Linked DNA regions of Drosophila melanogaster. The protein of the gene in region 1 interacts with the protein of each later gene in a pairwise test. Each region holds a gene or a part of one and is shown on either strand. Other genes may lie near its edges.

Region 1 (5,488 bases):
CTTTGCCTTCGGTTCTCTCATCTCTGCTGTTGATCCTGTGGCAACAGTGGCAATTTTCCATGCTCTTGACGTAGACCCCATACTCAACATGTTGGTATTCGGCGAAAGCATCCTCAACGACGCCATATCTATTGTGCTGACTGCATCCATAACCCAATCCGCTAACGTCAATGCTGAGGCCAGCACTGGAGAAGCCATGTTCAGCGCGTTGAAGACCTTTTGCGCGATGTTCTTTGCTTCGGCGGGCATTGGAGTCATATTTGCACTAATTTCGGCTCTTCTTCTGAAGCACATCGATTTACGAAAGCATCCATCCCTCGAGTTCGCGATGATGCTAATGTTTACTTACGCACCTTACGTCTTGGCAGAGGGAATACACTTAAGCGGTATATCAATGTTGTTGACTATGACTCTAAAAGCTAAACATTTTTTTCAACTATAGGTATTATGGCTATACTATTTTGCGGAATCGTCATGTCCCACTACACGCATTTCAACCTATCCACTGTAAGTCATATGATATCCCTATTTTATATATTATTAAAACTTTTTTAATCGTAGGTTACCCAAATTACCATGCAGCAGACGATGAGGACACTAGCTTTCATTGCTGAGACCTGCGTGTTTGCTTATCTGGGATTAGCAATCTTTTCTTTTAAACACCAAGTTGAACTATCTTTTGTTATATGGGCCATTGTGCTTTGCTTAATTGGCCGCGCCTGCAATATTTTTCCGCTCGCGTTCTTGGTCAACAAATTTCGCGAGCATAAGATCAATAACAAGATGCAGTTCATTATGTGGTTTTCTGGCCTACGCGGAGCGATTTCCTACGCGCTATCTTTGCACTTGAATCTTGACAGCCAGGAGAAACGACACGTCATCATAACAACAACGTAAGCATATTCCGGATTGTAAAATAATGCTCAGTCATTGAAGAATTAAAATTTCAGATTAATCATTGTGCTATTTACCACGCTAGTGCTGGGGGGCTCCACAATGCCTCTGCTAAAGTACCTTAAGCCAGGAAAAAAACGGCGGGCACGCGGCTCTGGAAGGAATGCCGCTGAGGAGGGAGGTCGACGCAACGGCAGCGGTAGGAAGCGTTCAAAATCTATTTCCCTATCGAAAACTCGCGAATGGGGCCAGGCAATCGACTCTGAACACTTGTCTGAACTCACCGAGGAAGAGGACGTCACCTTTACTCAAGCGCGCGATCGTTTTGGGCGCATGGATCGCAAGTACTTTATTCCGTTTTTTACACGTCGGTTCAATAGTCAGGAATTGCACGAGTGCAAGTCACAGATGGCCGACCTGACTAACAAGTGGTACCAAGCCATTCGAGTGAGTCCATTGGATTCAGATGAATCGGACGAAGAGATAGGACTAGCGGCCAGCACAAGTCAAATTCATTTGACACGGTCGTAGGGATTAAATGGCTGTTGTGGGGGGAGCTCTGTATCCGTTTCGGACTGTGTTGGATAACTTTAGAAGCCAAAGGGAACGATCGTATGTAATGCTTAAGTTCCTCTAGTTAATATTTTTAGAGTTTTTATTTATATAGCGCGGTGATGGTTGTTATCTTGTGTATATTTTTTGTTTACAAATTTTCATTTTGTAAGATCCAAATGCAATGATTCATTCGTATCACTGTAGCTCCTTTATTAATCCGCTTAAAGCAGTATTACATTGCACACGACAGATGGTCTTCAAAATGAAAATTTGGACGTCACAAAAGCACACTACGTCAGTAATTTTAGTTAAAAATATTTATTCATACGAATATATGCTGTATTTGTGATTTTATACATTTTTGAAACCAAATAAATATCTAAGTGTGGTACGTGTAAAAAAATATGGTCATGCCCTGCTTTTTGAAATTCTAATTTATAATTACATATCAATTGATAATATTACCTATTAAAGTAAAATTGGCTACAAAAGGTGTGCGTTTTTGGTTACTTTTACAATTCTTCGTGCGTGGACTCTTCACCGAGCACCGTGGAGTTTGAATCACTGCGGACTGCAAACGAAGTACAAAAATCGTTAGATGTCTTGGGGGAATGTTAAAAGATTATGCTTTTCAAAACGCTCGTGTATATCATAAAAGGAAAGCAATGTTGACATGTCTTTTGACTTATAAAGACTTCATTATTAGTTCCTCCAACTGTTTTGTATCTATTTCGGGTTGGTGGCCGCCTCCTGCCTCCGAGTTGATCCAGTACTCGGAAACAGCAATGTACCCTGCCACTGCCGCCCCAACAATGCAACCCCAGGCAATATGAGTAGAGCTCTGGAAGATGACACAGGTGGCCACGCACATTCCGAAGTAGGTGAGCATTCGCGTAAAGCTTACGTAGTTGCTGCGTTGCTCCGCAGAAATATCTTAAATGATCGGAGGCGCAATACATACAGTGGACAATGCGTTGCTTAAAAGCAAATTTATTAAATTTCTGTCTTACTTACCATGACACTTTCCTTCCTTCAACTCATAGCCATCCGCACACTTCCTGCACATGTCAGGGCCATCACCATCGCATCCATCGCAAGATCGATCACACTCCAGGCAACTAAAGGAGCCCTCATTGTTCACGCAGAACTGCTGTGGTCGGCAAGGGTTTGGACGCTGTTGCTCCAAGCACTCATTAATGTCGACACATCCTGCCTCCGAGTCCATGCTCCAGCCCTTCTTACACTTGCGGCAGCTCTTGGGACCACCTCCCGTGCAGCCTCCTTCCCCACAGGCCGCATGGCACTGTGTACACAGCAATTTCTTTTCGTCACGGAATGATTCGTAGTGCTCCGGTCCACATTCGTTGCAGTTTGGACCCGCATAGCCGGGATCACATTTGCACTTTCCGTTACCCTTTCTAGTTCCGTCTCCTTTGCATTTTCCTGAAATTTGTCATGTGGGTAAAATTAACGAAGACGGCAATCTTAAGTTGACACACTTATGTAAGTTGTGGCCTGTAATACTTGGTTATCATTACTTACCATTTCCATTGCACTCGGTGCAGGTCAGGCAGTCTGGTCCGTAGGTGTTCAGCGGACAGCAGACTGTTAGCTGATCGATGCAAAGCCATGACTGCAGGTCGGGACTCTCTGTTTGTTTGTGGATAAACCAGTCCTCGAGAAGCGCCTCGTGCTCGTTAGCCAGGTTGTGGCAGTGATCCTTGTTTATCACTTCTCCTTCCGAACATAGCTTCTCCTGGATCTCCACTAGCCGTACCTCGCTGTTCTTGTACGAACGCAACTTTTCCTCCTCCCATGCCGTGTCCCCGCCCGCGTGTCCGCGTTTTGTCCTTTCGAGTCCTGCCCTGAAAGAGCTAACAAGCTGGGTACATGCCCTGCAGGGCGGCGGAACAGGCTTTTCGGGAGAATATGACGCCGAAGCAGCGGCTATGAATACTAGCGTTGCGAGCCAACAATACTTGATTCTCATTTTTATTTATTTATTGTCTTTTTAACCGGCAAACTATCTGAGTTTACGTGTAATTAAAGCCGACACTATCGATAAATAAAAACATCGATAGTATACTCGAAAGTTTCGCGAATACCGATAGGTCGCGTTCGATACCATTGCCTCACGGAGCTCACTCTTAGTCAATCTAACAACCGTTAACGACCCATGCGAAATTCGAGGATTATCATTTTCGAATACTTCCCTTTTCTGGTAATCGACAATTAAATTTTGTTGCTGTAGGATACGATTTGTTTCACTCACTTTAACTGCACCTCCTTGTAGCTTGAAACATGTTGCTTTAACTATTTTCGTAAAAGTAAAAAAGTGTAAACTTTATTTTTTTCGCTTTTTAATATTTTGCTTAATCTATTAGATGCATAAAAAAGTTATGCTATTACATTAGCAATTATAGAGATCGATAATTTAAAATGTAAGATTTACTTAAAATAATCCGATACGCTAGACATGAAAGACCAAAAGTATGATAATTTGATTGCAGACTAAGTCGTGTGCAAGAAGTTACCATTTCAAAGGAGTACTTTTGTTGTTGTACGCGTTGGCCCTATTGGATGTATTTAGAAAAGAAATAAAAAATTATATAAGTTAATGTTTACTTTTTGCACTGGTGGTTTTTAATATAGTCATATAGTAAAGTAATATCTATATTAGGCTGGATTCTATAAATATCTAATTAAGCATCTTATGTCTATTATTTAGAGCACTCCGTTGAGGAACAAAATAAGAAAGACATGAGAATTTTAATACATATGTATACACAATGTAACTTTCCTTTTCACTGTATAACAATAAAAACTTACTTGACAACGCCATGATTCTGAACTGATGTAAGAGTAATAAAGGGAGTCAATCGTTCAATGAACCGATCGTTGTTACGTTCCAGTTCTCGTTGGTAATCTTTTTGATCTGAAAGTATTAGATTGCGATTCTTTTTCAAAGCATCAGCACAACGCTTTGAAAACTCGCGAAAGCACAACCGAAGTTTGTTTTGGTGTTTTGTCGGTACAGTTGTTCCGTCGGATAAATTGGAAAGGAACACACTCGCCATTTCCATCGGTCCTTGGTTAACAGTGGTTCCAATACATCCCTGCAGTACCATTTGCAATATTTTGGGGTCTGCTGGCTCTTGATTCGTGGCAGCTGCCAATTCCAATGTTTTTTTTTGAATATCCTAGGCAATAACGTTTAATTTTATTAACTTTTGGGATTTTACAACATAACTTACTTCAATTGCCACTTCAATCGGTTCCAGGACTATTTGCTGTCGGCTAATTACCATAATGCGAGTTTTTACGTATGGAAAGTGATTCGCCGTGGTCAAAATCGTTTTCCGTTTACACTGCTCATTTAGTTCGCCATGTGCCTTTCCATTTTTAGTAAAAGGCGTGGCATATATAAAACGTTCTGCATAAACCAAAAATGTTAAAATTATAATTTTAAATTTCGATTTAAATTATCTGTTTAATTCATATCATACTTATATTGAAATTCCGCTCAAAGTATGTCTCACGATGACGCATTTCATATGTTTCAAAGTAGGGTTCAACATAAGTAATTTGAATGTAAGCCTTATCGGGATCCAAGCTATTAATATCAACGGTATTGGAATCTTTAATGATATGCACAGAGTCCGGTCCGAATCGTTCAGTGTAAAAGTTCTAACGTATGTTGAAACAAAATTGATTAGTTCTATTTTTTCCAATTTGCAATATATACCTGAAGCCGACTAAATATTTCGGGCAACTTCGTCAATGTTGGCTCTTTATAAATGAATTCCTGCTGATCCAAGTCCCCAAATTTTCCGCCATAGAAGCCAACACGAAAGTATGTTCCAAAAACTCTCTTACCCTGTTTATAAATATGTATATATTTTCCGTTGGTAAAATTTACACAATATTGTTACCTGTAGTTGGGATATTCGATTAAATGCCTCCTGCAATTTGCCATGAACTTTGCTTAGCTTTTGAAAATCTCTGTTAGCCTCGCATATGGGTATTAGAATTTTGTACA
Region 2 (4,623 bases), on another chromosome or scaffold:
TGTGTAGACTCCTTTTCTGATGCACTATTCGAACGCTTTTTGAATTTTGGCTGGTACTGGCGACCGCCTCCGGCTTTTATACATGCTTCCTTATCGGCGGTCACTACGTCGATAAGACGGCCCGACACAACTGAACGATAAGCCCCCGGGGGAATTGGCTGTGGCAATTTCGGCAAACGCCTTTATAAAACCACATCGACTAATTGGCCATAATGCTGCGATCAGTTCCTATAAATAGGACACTCGAGCTTACACCGCTGGGAAATGGATTGGATTGGATGGGCATATGATGGGATATGATGGGAACACTTGTTATTTGATTGGACGATTGGACGGACTGCGTACAAGAAGCATTAACTTAATGTGCTATCGTAGTTCAATCTATTAGTAAGCGGCTAGATAGTATGTTGTTGATTTTTATTTTTATTTTTTTTATGACAACCCACCCAATAATAAAACCAGTGATAGGAAGCACCACCTTACTGGATAAAGGAAATGTTTCCTCCGCCGTTGAATGACGATCTGTGATGGCGCGTGTTTGTTTGTTTATTTGTTCCACGACAATCTTAGCCTTGATATGCATAATGGCGCACAATGGCAAACAATCTAATAAACAAATAACCGTATCTACAAAGTCAATTGACTGTCTACGCAACATGGTCATAGATACTATATTCATACATATCTATATATACCACATCGATTCTGGACTGACGTACTTACCACCAGAGAAAGTCCCCCCAATAGTTGAATGAAGACAGATACTCAGATACTCAGATGCCCAGCTATATGATAAATACCCAATTGAATCGCAAAGTCTTGGGAGTTTGGCCATTGTTCGTTCTCATCCAAAACGTGATTCATTCGGTTGGGAATTCCTTCTAAAAATCCAGCCAGATAGGGGGAAAGTTCAATAACGTCAGTAGAACAAAAACTTCATGCGTCTCACTCTTTCGCAGACAAATCCCTGGATGATTTGCCGCCTTGGTTTCACCTTCCATGCCAAACGGAGCCGCAATCGGAATCCACAGCGGATTCAGGTGAGTGGCTGTCCCAGATTTATGGCAATGGCTATCATCGGTTTCGAGTGGAAGGCGCGTGAGCAACGAACCATTTGAAATTGATCAAGATTACCGAATACCCTGGGGATGGTGATATATGATCTCTACCATTACCGACTTTTCAGCTTTGCAATACATTCGACATTCGATCGTACACAGTGAAAGACGTACATGTATATCTTTGGATCTACACATTCTTCGTTAAAAATGAAATTTTTTAATTAGAGGAACAGGTCCGAATTTGATTTATCATATAACTCAATTAACAGAGTGACTGATAGTACAAACATATATGATCTAATTGCATATTTACGATTAAACATATGACAGCATATAAACTTTATCCCATCAATGAAATGAAATTAATTACGTAAATCTAGATAATTGCAGGTGCTGCAATCATTTTAGTCTGCCATTATACATATGTATTTAAAATTGGAGTCACATTTAAAAAAAAAAAAAAATATATATATATATAAAGCTAGCGAGGAACTAATGCAAATGCCTCCTAGTTGACTCCGTAGTAGAGAGCCTGGTATGAGAAGTTCTTGGTGTTCTTGGCCTCCAGCACGATGGAGATCAAGCTCTGGCCGATGCCTCCGGCGACCACGTAGGCGGTGCCCTCGTTGGTGTCCTGGGTGCAGAGCAGCTCCACGTAGGATACAGTGGCACCCTTGCCGTTCTCCGGATAGGTAAGCTGCAGGCTCACATCTTGCGCCCGTGGGAATTCGTAAGTGTTGGCTGTCTGGGCCACCAGTTCGTCGCCTGAAAGTATGCCAGATTGCGGGATCAGTGATTGGTGGTCGGTCAAACGTAGGGTATGCTTTGGGTAACTTACCCGGAATGCGGGCTCCCATGTTGTAGCGCACGGTCTGGCTTCCGACGCGGGCCTTGGCCGGCACAATTTCCTTCTCCATCTGCTGGATCTGCAGACCCGGGTATTGGGCGGCAAAGACATGGATATTATCCACCACTTGGATGCCGGTGGTATCCACACGTATTGTTCCAGCCGCTCCACCGGACACAAGACAGCCCAGCAGGGCGGACAACAGGATGAGGCTAAACTTGGACATCTTGGGCGTTGAATTGAAATTCGAGGTAAACGAAGTGTGTGGACTAAGGGTCTCCAGTCACGGCACGTTGAAGTCACGGAATGATGGCCAAGGTCTGGAAACCACCTATTTATACCGCCCACTGTTTTTCTTTGAATCATATTAGGTACCCCCTTATCAGGCCCATTGCCAATTTCAAGTGGCAAGTGACAATGTCTAATCCAATACCGGAAAAAGAGTCACACCGACGCTGGAACTGCTCTACTTCTCGTTCAGAAATGAAACTCTTGTATTGAATTAGAGCTTAGAGGATAAATAAATGAGTTATTGGGCTTTTTTTTATATCTAGCACCTTACAGTGCAGCGACCCCACGGAAGTGTAACCATAATAATGCTGATAAGGAAGCTTCCCACTTCACTCAATTAAATTGAACAATTTCGGTGTTATTGCGCTCGGATCCAATCATCCCCCTTTCGCCCCGCCGGCAGCTGCGATGGTGTACCAATGGGCGGAAGATAAGACCACGACTCCCACTTTGGGAGTACGACCTTTCCTATCCGACGGTAAACAAACAATCTTTTTTTTTTCCTCAGGCCCTGATTAGCCAAAAACTAACTCTAGGCGCAATCTATTGCCCCAGGATTGACACCTGCTGGCGTCCCCCTGTTGGACTTCCCTCCCCCTTCCTCGCGCTTTTAGACTTCCCTACCCGCGATGGAGGAAAGAACTTCCCGGAATCTTATCGCCCGTGGACTTCCCTGGAAGTGGGACGTCGAGTACCTTCGAGACGAATCGACCCATCATCACCACTCCCAATCAACGCGGCCATCGATAATTGTAGATTTGATTTAACAATAAGTTATGAATCATCTGCTTAAAATTGGATTTACTCGCCATTCTATGCGTACACTTAAAGAATTGGCGGGGCATTAATGGTGCACCTACGTCAAAAGAATATAAAATTAAAAGAAATTTTAAAAACTTTCGAAAAATGCGAACTTGTTCTGTGCACTTAGGTTTCAAATTGTGAGCACATCTTGAGATGGGAACTTTATTATATCTATTGATTTATAAATGGATCGACCCTTCCCCACAATATTAAACATTCAACAGCTCGGCTTACATGGTAAAGTGTTTAGAAAACGTTTTTATTTCTATGCTATTATTCAGACTTATCGATAACTCTAAAGTTACACATGAATGTAAAATATTGTTTTCAAAAATCAAACTCCCGAAGCACTTGCAACGATCAATTACGATTACGACTACCTGGTACAGAGAGCTTTACGAAAATCAAGAGTTTAAAAAAAAATAATGGGATTAGTAGTAAGAGAGCCGAGCTTCGCTGCAGACTCGATTGGTTCGGTTCGGATTGGATTGGATTGGAATTAGAATAGATTATAATGGATTAGATTGGAATGTGGCAGCGTTGAAACTAAGCTAGGATTAGTTGGACTTGCAGGAGTATAGACTAAGGTTAGTACATTCATTTTTTCAGTTGGCAATCATAAAGCAAAACAATCTGCGGCCCTGTCATCGCGTCCCGTTCCCGTTTCATAAATCCTCTATTGCACTCGACTCGCCATCCCGCCATCGCGCTATCTCGCTCTTATTCGCTTCCGCTCTATACCCATCGCATTCTCTCACTCATACGCAAGGACACACACACACGAGGTCGGCACGGAAATCCCCCAGGCTTGGATCCTCCCAAATATCAATTGAATATCTATTGTATGAGATTCGCCGATCGAAATGGGAATGGGTTCACTATCAGCTAATTGTGATGATTTTCGTACGCTCTGCACTAAGTGCATTTTGTGGAGTTTGATCTTTCGTGACAAAAGTGGAAAACAGTTTTCAAGTACGACTACTACTAACACACACACACGATTTTGAAAATTGCATTCACTTCATGCACTACAAATATGGTCTAAAAGCAATTGTTCTAATGCTTACATGGAAATACAATTGTTCGCGATTCCTTACGACATTGTTTTACAAAATCGAAATTCTTAAGCTTTAATAATTTAATAATATCCTTGTGGATTTATTTATTCGCCGAGCATTGAATGCCCTTGTCTGAATCCCGGTTGCCCAGGCGATTTCCAAGTGCCGACAGTGCATATGTACATACAGTTCGCGTCATAAATGCAGATGTGTGTGATATCTTGTGTTTTTCGTGTGTATATCAATACTTATATGCGTTACAAAACCAACAACAATTCCATTTCTCATTTTCACTAAATTGCTTTTGTCTAAAATATCGCCCCCGTTGCCCCGGCTGAAACCCTTGTGATCCATTCCTTGATCCTCCTCCTCCTGCTGCTCCTCCCAAACATGCTGGACTTACCAGCGTGGGCGTATCTCCTTGAACCACCACTGCTGGTAGCTATCGTTAACATCGCAGTGACCCAATGACAATTGCTGCGTGGCCGGATGCAGGGCCATGCATTTCTTGTGGACGCGATGCATCAGGTGCTTCGTGTGCTCGTTGTACTGCCAAGGACCG

What was found. Proteins that work in one complex are often made in the same cells at the same time.
Region 2: the proteins of Creld (region 1) and CG15043 interact in a two-hybrid assay, tested with the Drosophila melanogaster proteins (one large-scale study listed by BioGRID).

The regions. Positions count from the first base shown.
Region 1 is NT_033779.5:100,410-105,897, reverse strand, and holds Creld (cysteine rich with EGF like domains), read right to left. Parts: upstream 3,519-5,488; 5' UTR 3,440-3,518; coding exon 2,992-3,439; intron 2,893-2,991; coding exon 2,464-2,892; intron 2,383-2,463; coding exon 2,135-2,382; 3' UTR 2,021-2,134; coding exon of another isoform or gene 1,962-2,020; 3' UTR 1,756-1,961; downstream 1-1,755. Other genes in the region: Nhe1 (Na[+]/H[+] hydrogen exchanger 1), read left to right, coding at 1-386, 443-507, 562-893, 951-1,425; Zir (Zizimin-related), read right to left, coding at 3,980-4,022, 4,279-4,649, 4,704-4,882, 4,956-5,136, 5,195-5,326, 5,382-5,488.
Region 2 is NC_004354.4:18,491,949-18,496,571, forward strand, and holds CG15043 (uncharacterized protein), read right to left. Parts: upstream 2,221-4,623; 5' UTR 2,135-2,220; coding exon 1,900-2,134; intron 1,827-1,899; coding exon 1,570-1,826; 3' UTR 1,245-1,569; downstream 1-1,244. Other genes in the region: Pgant7 (polypeptide N-Acetylgalactosaminyltransferase 7), read right to left, coding at 4,461-4,623.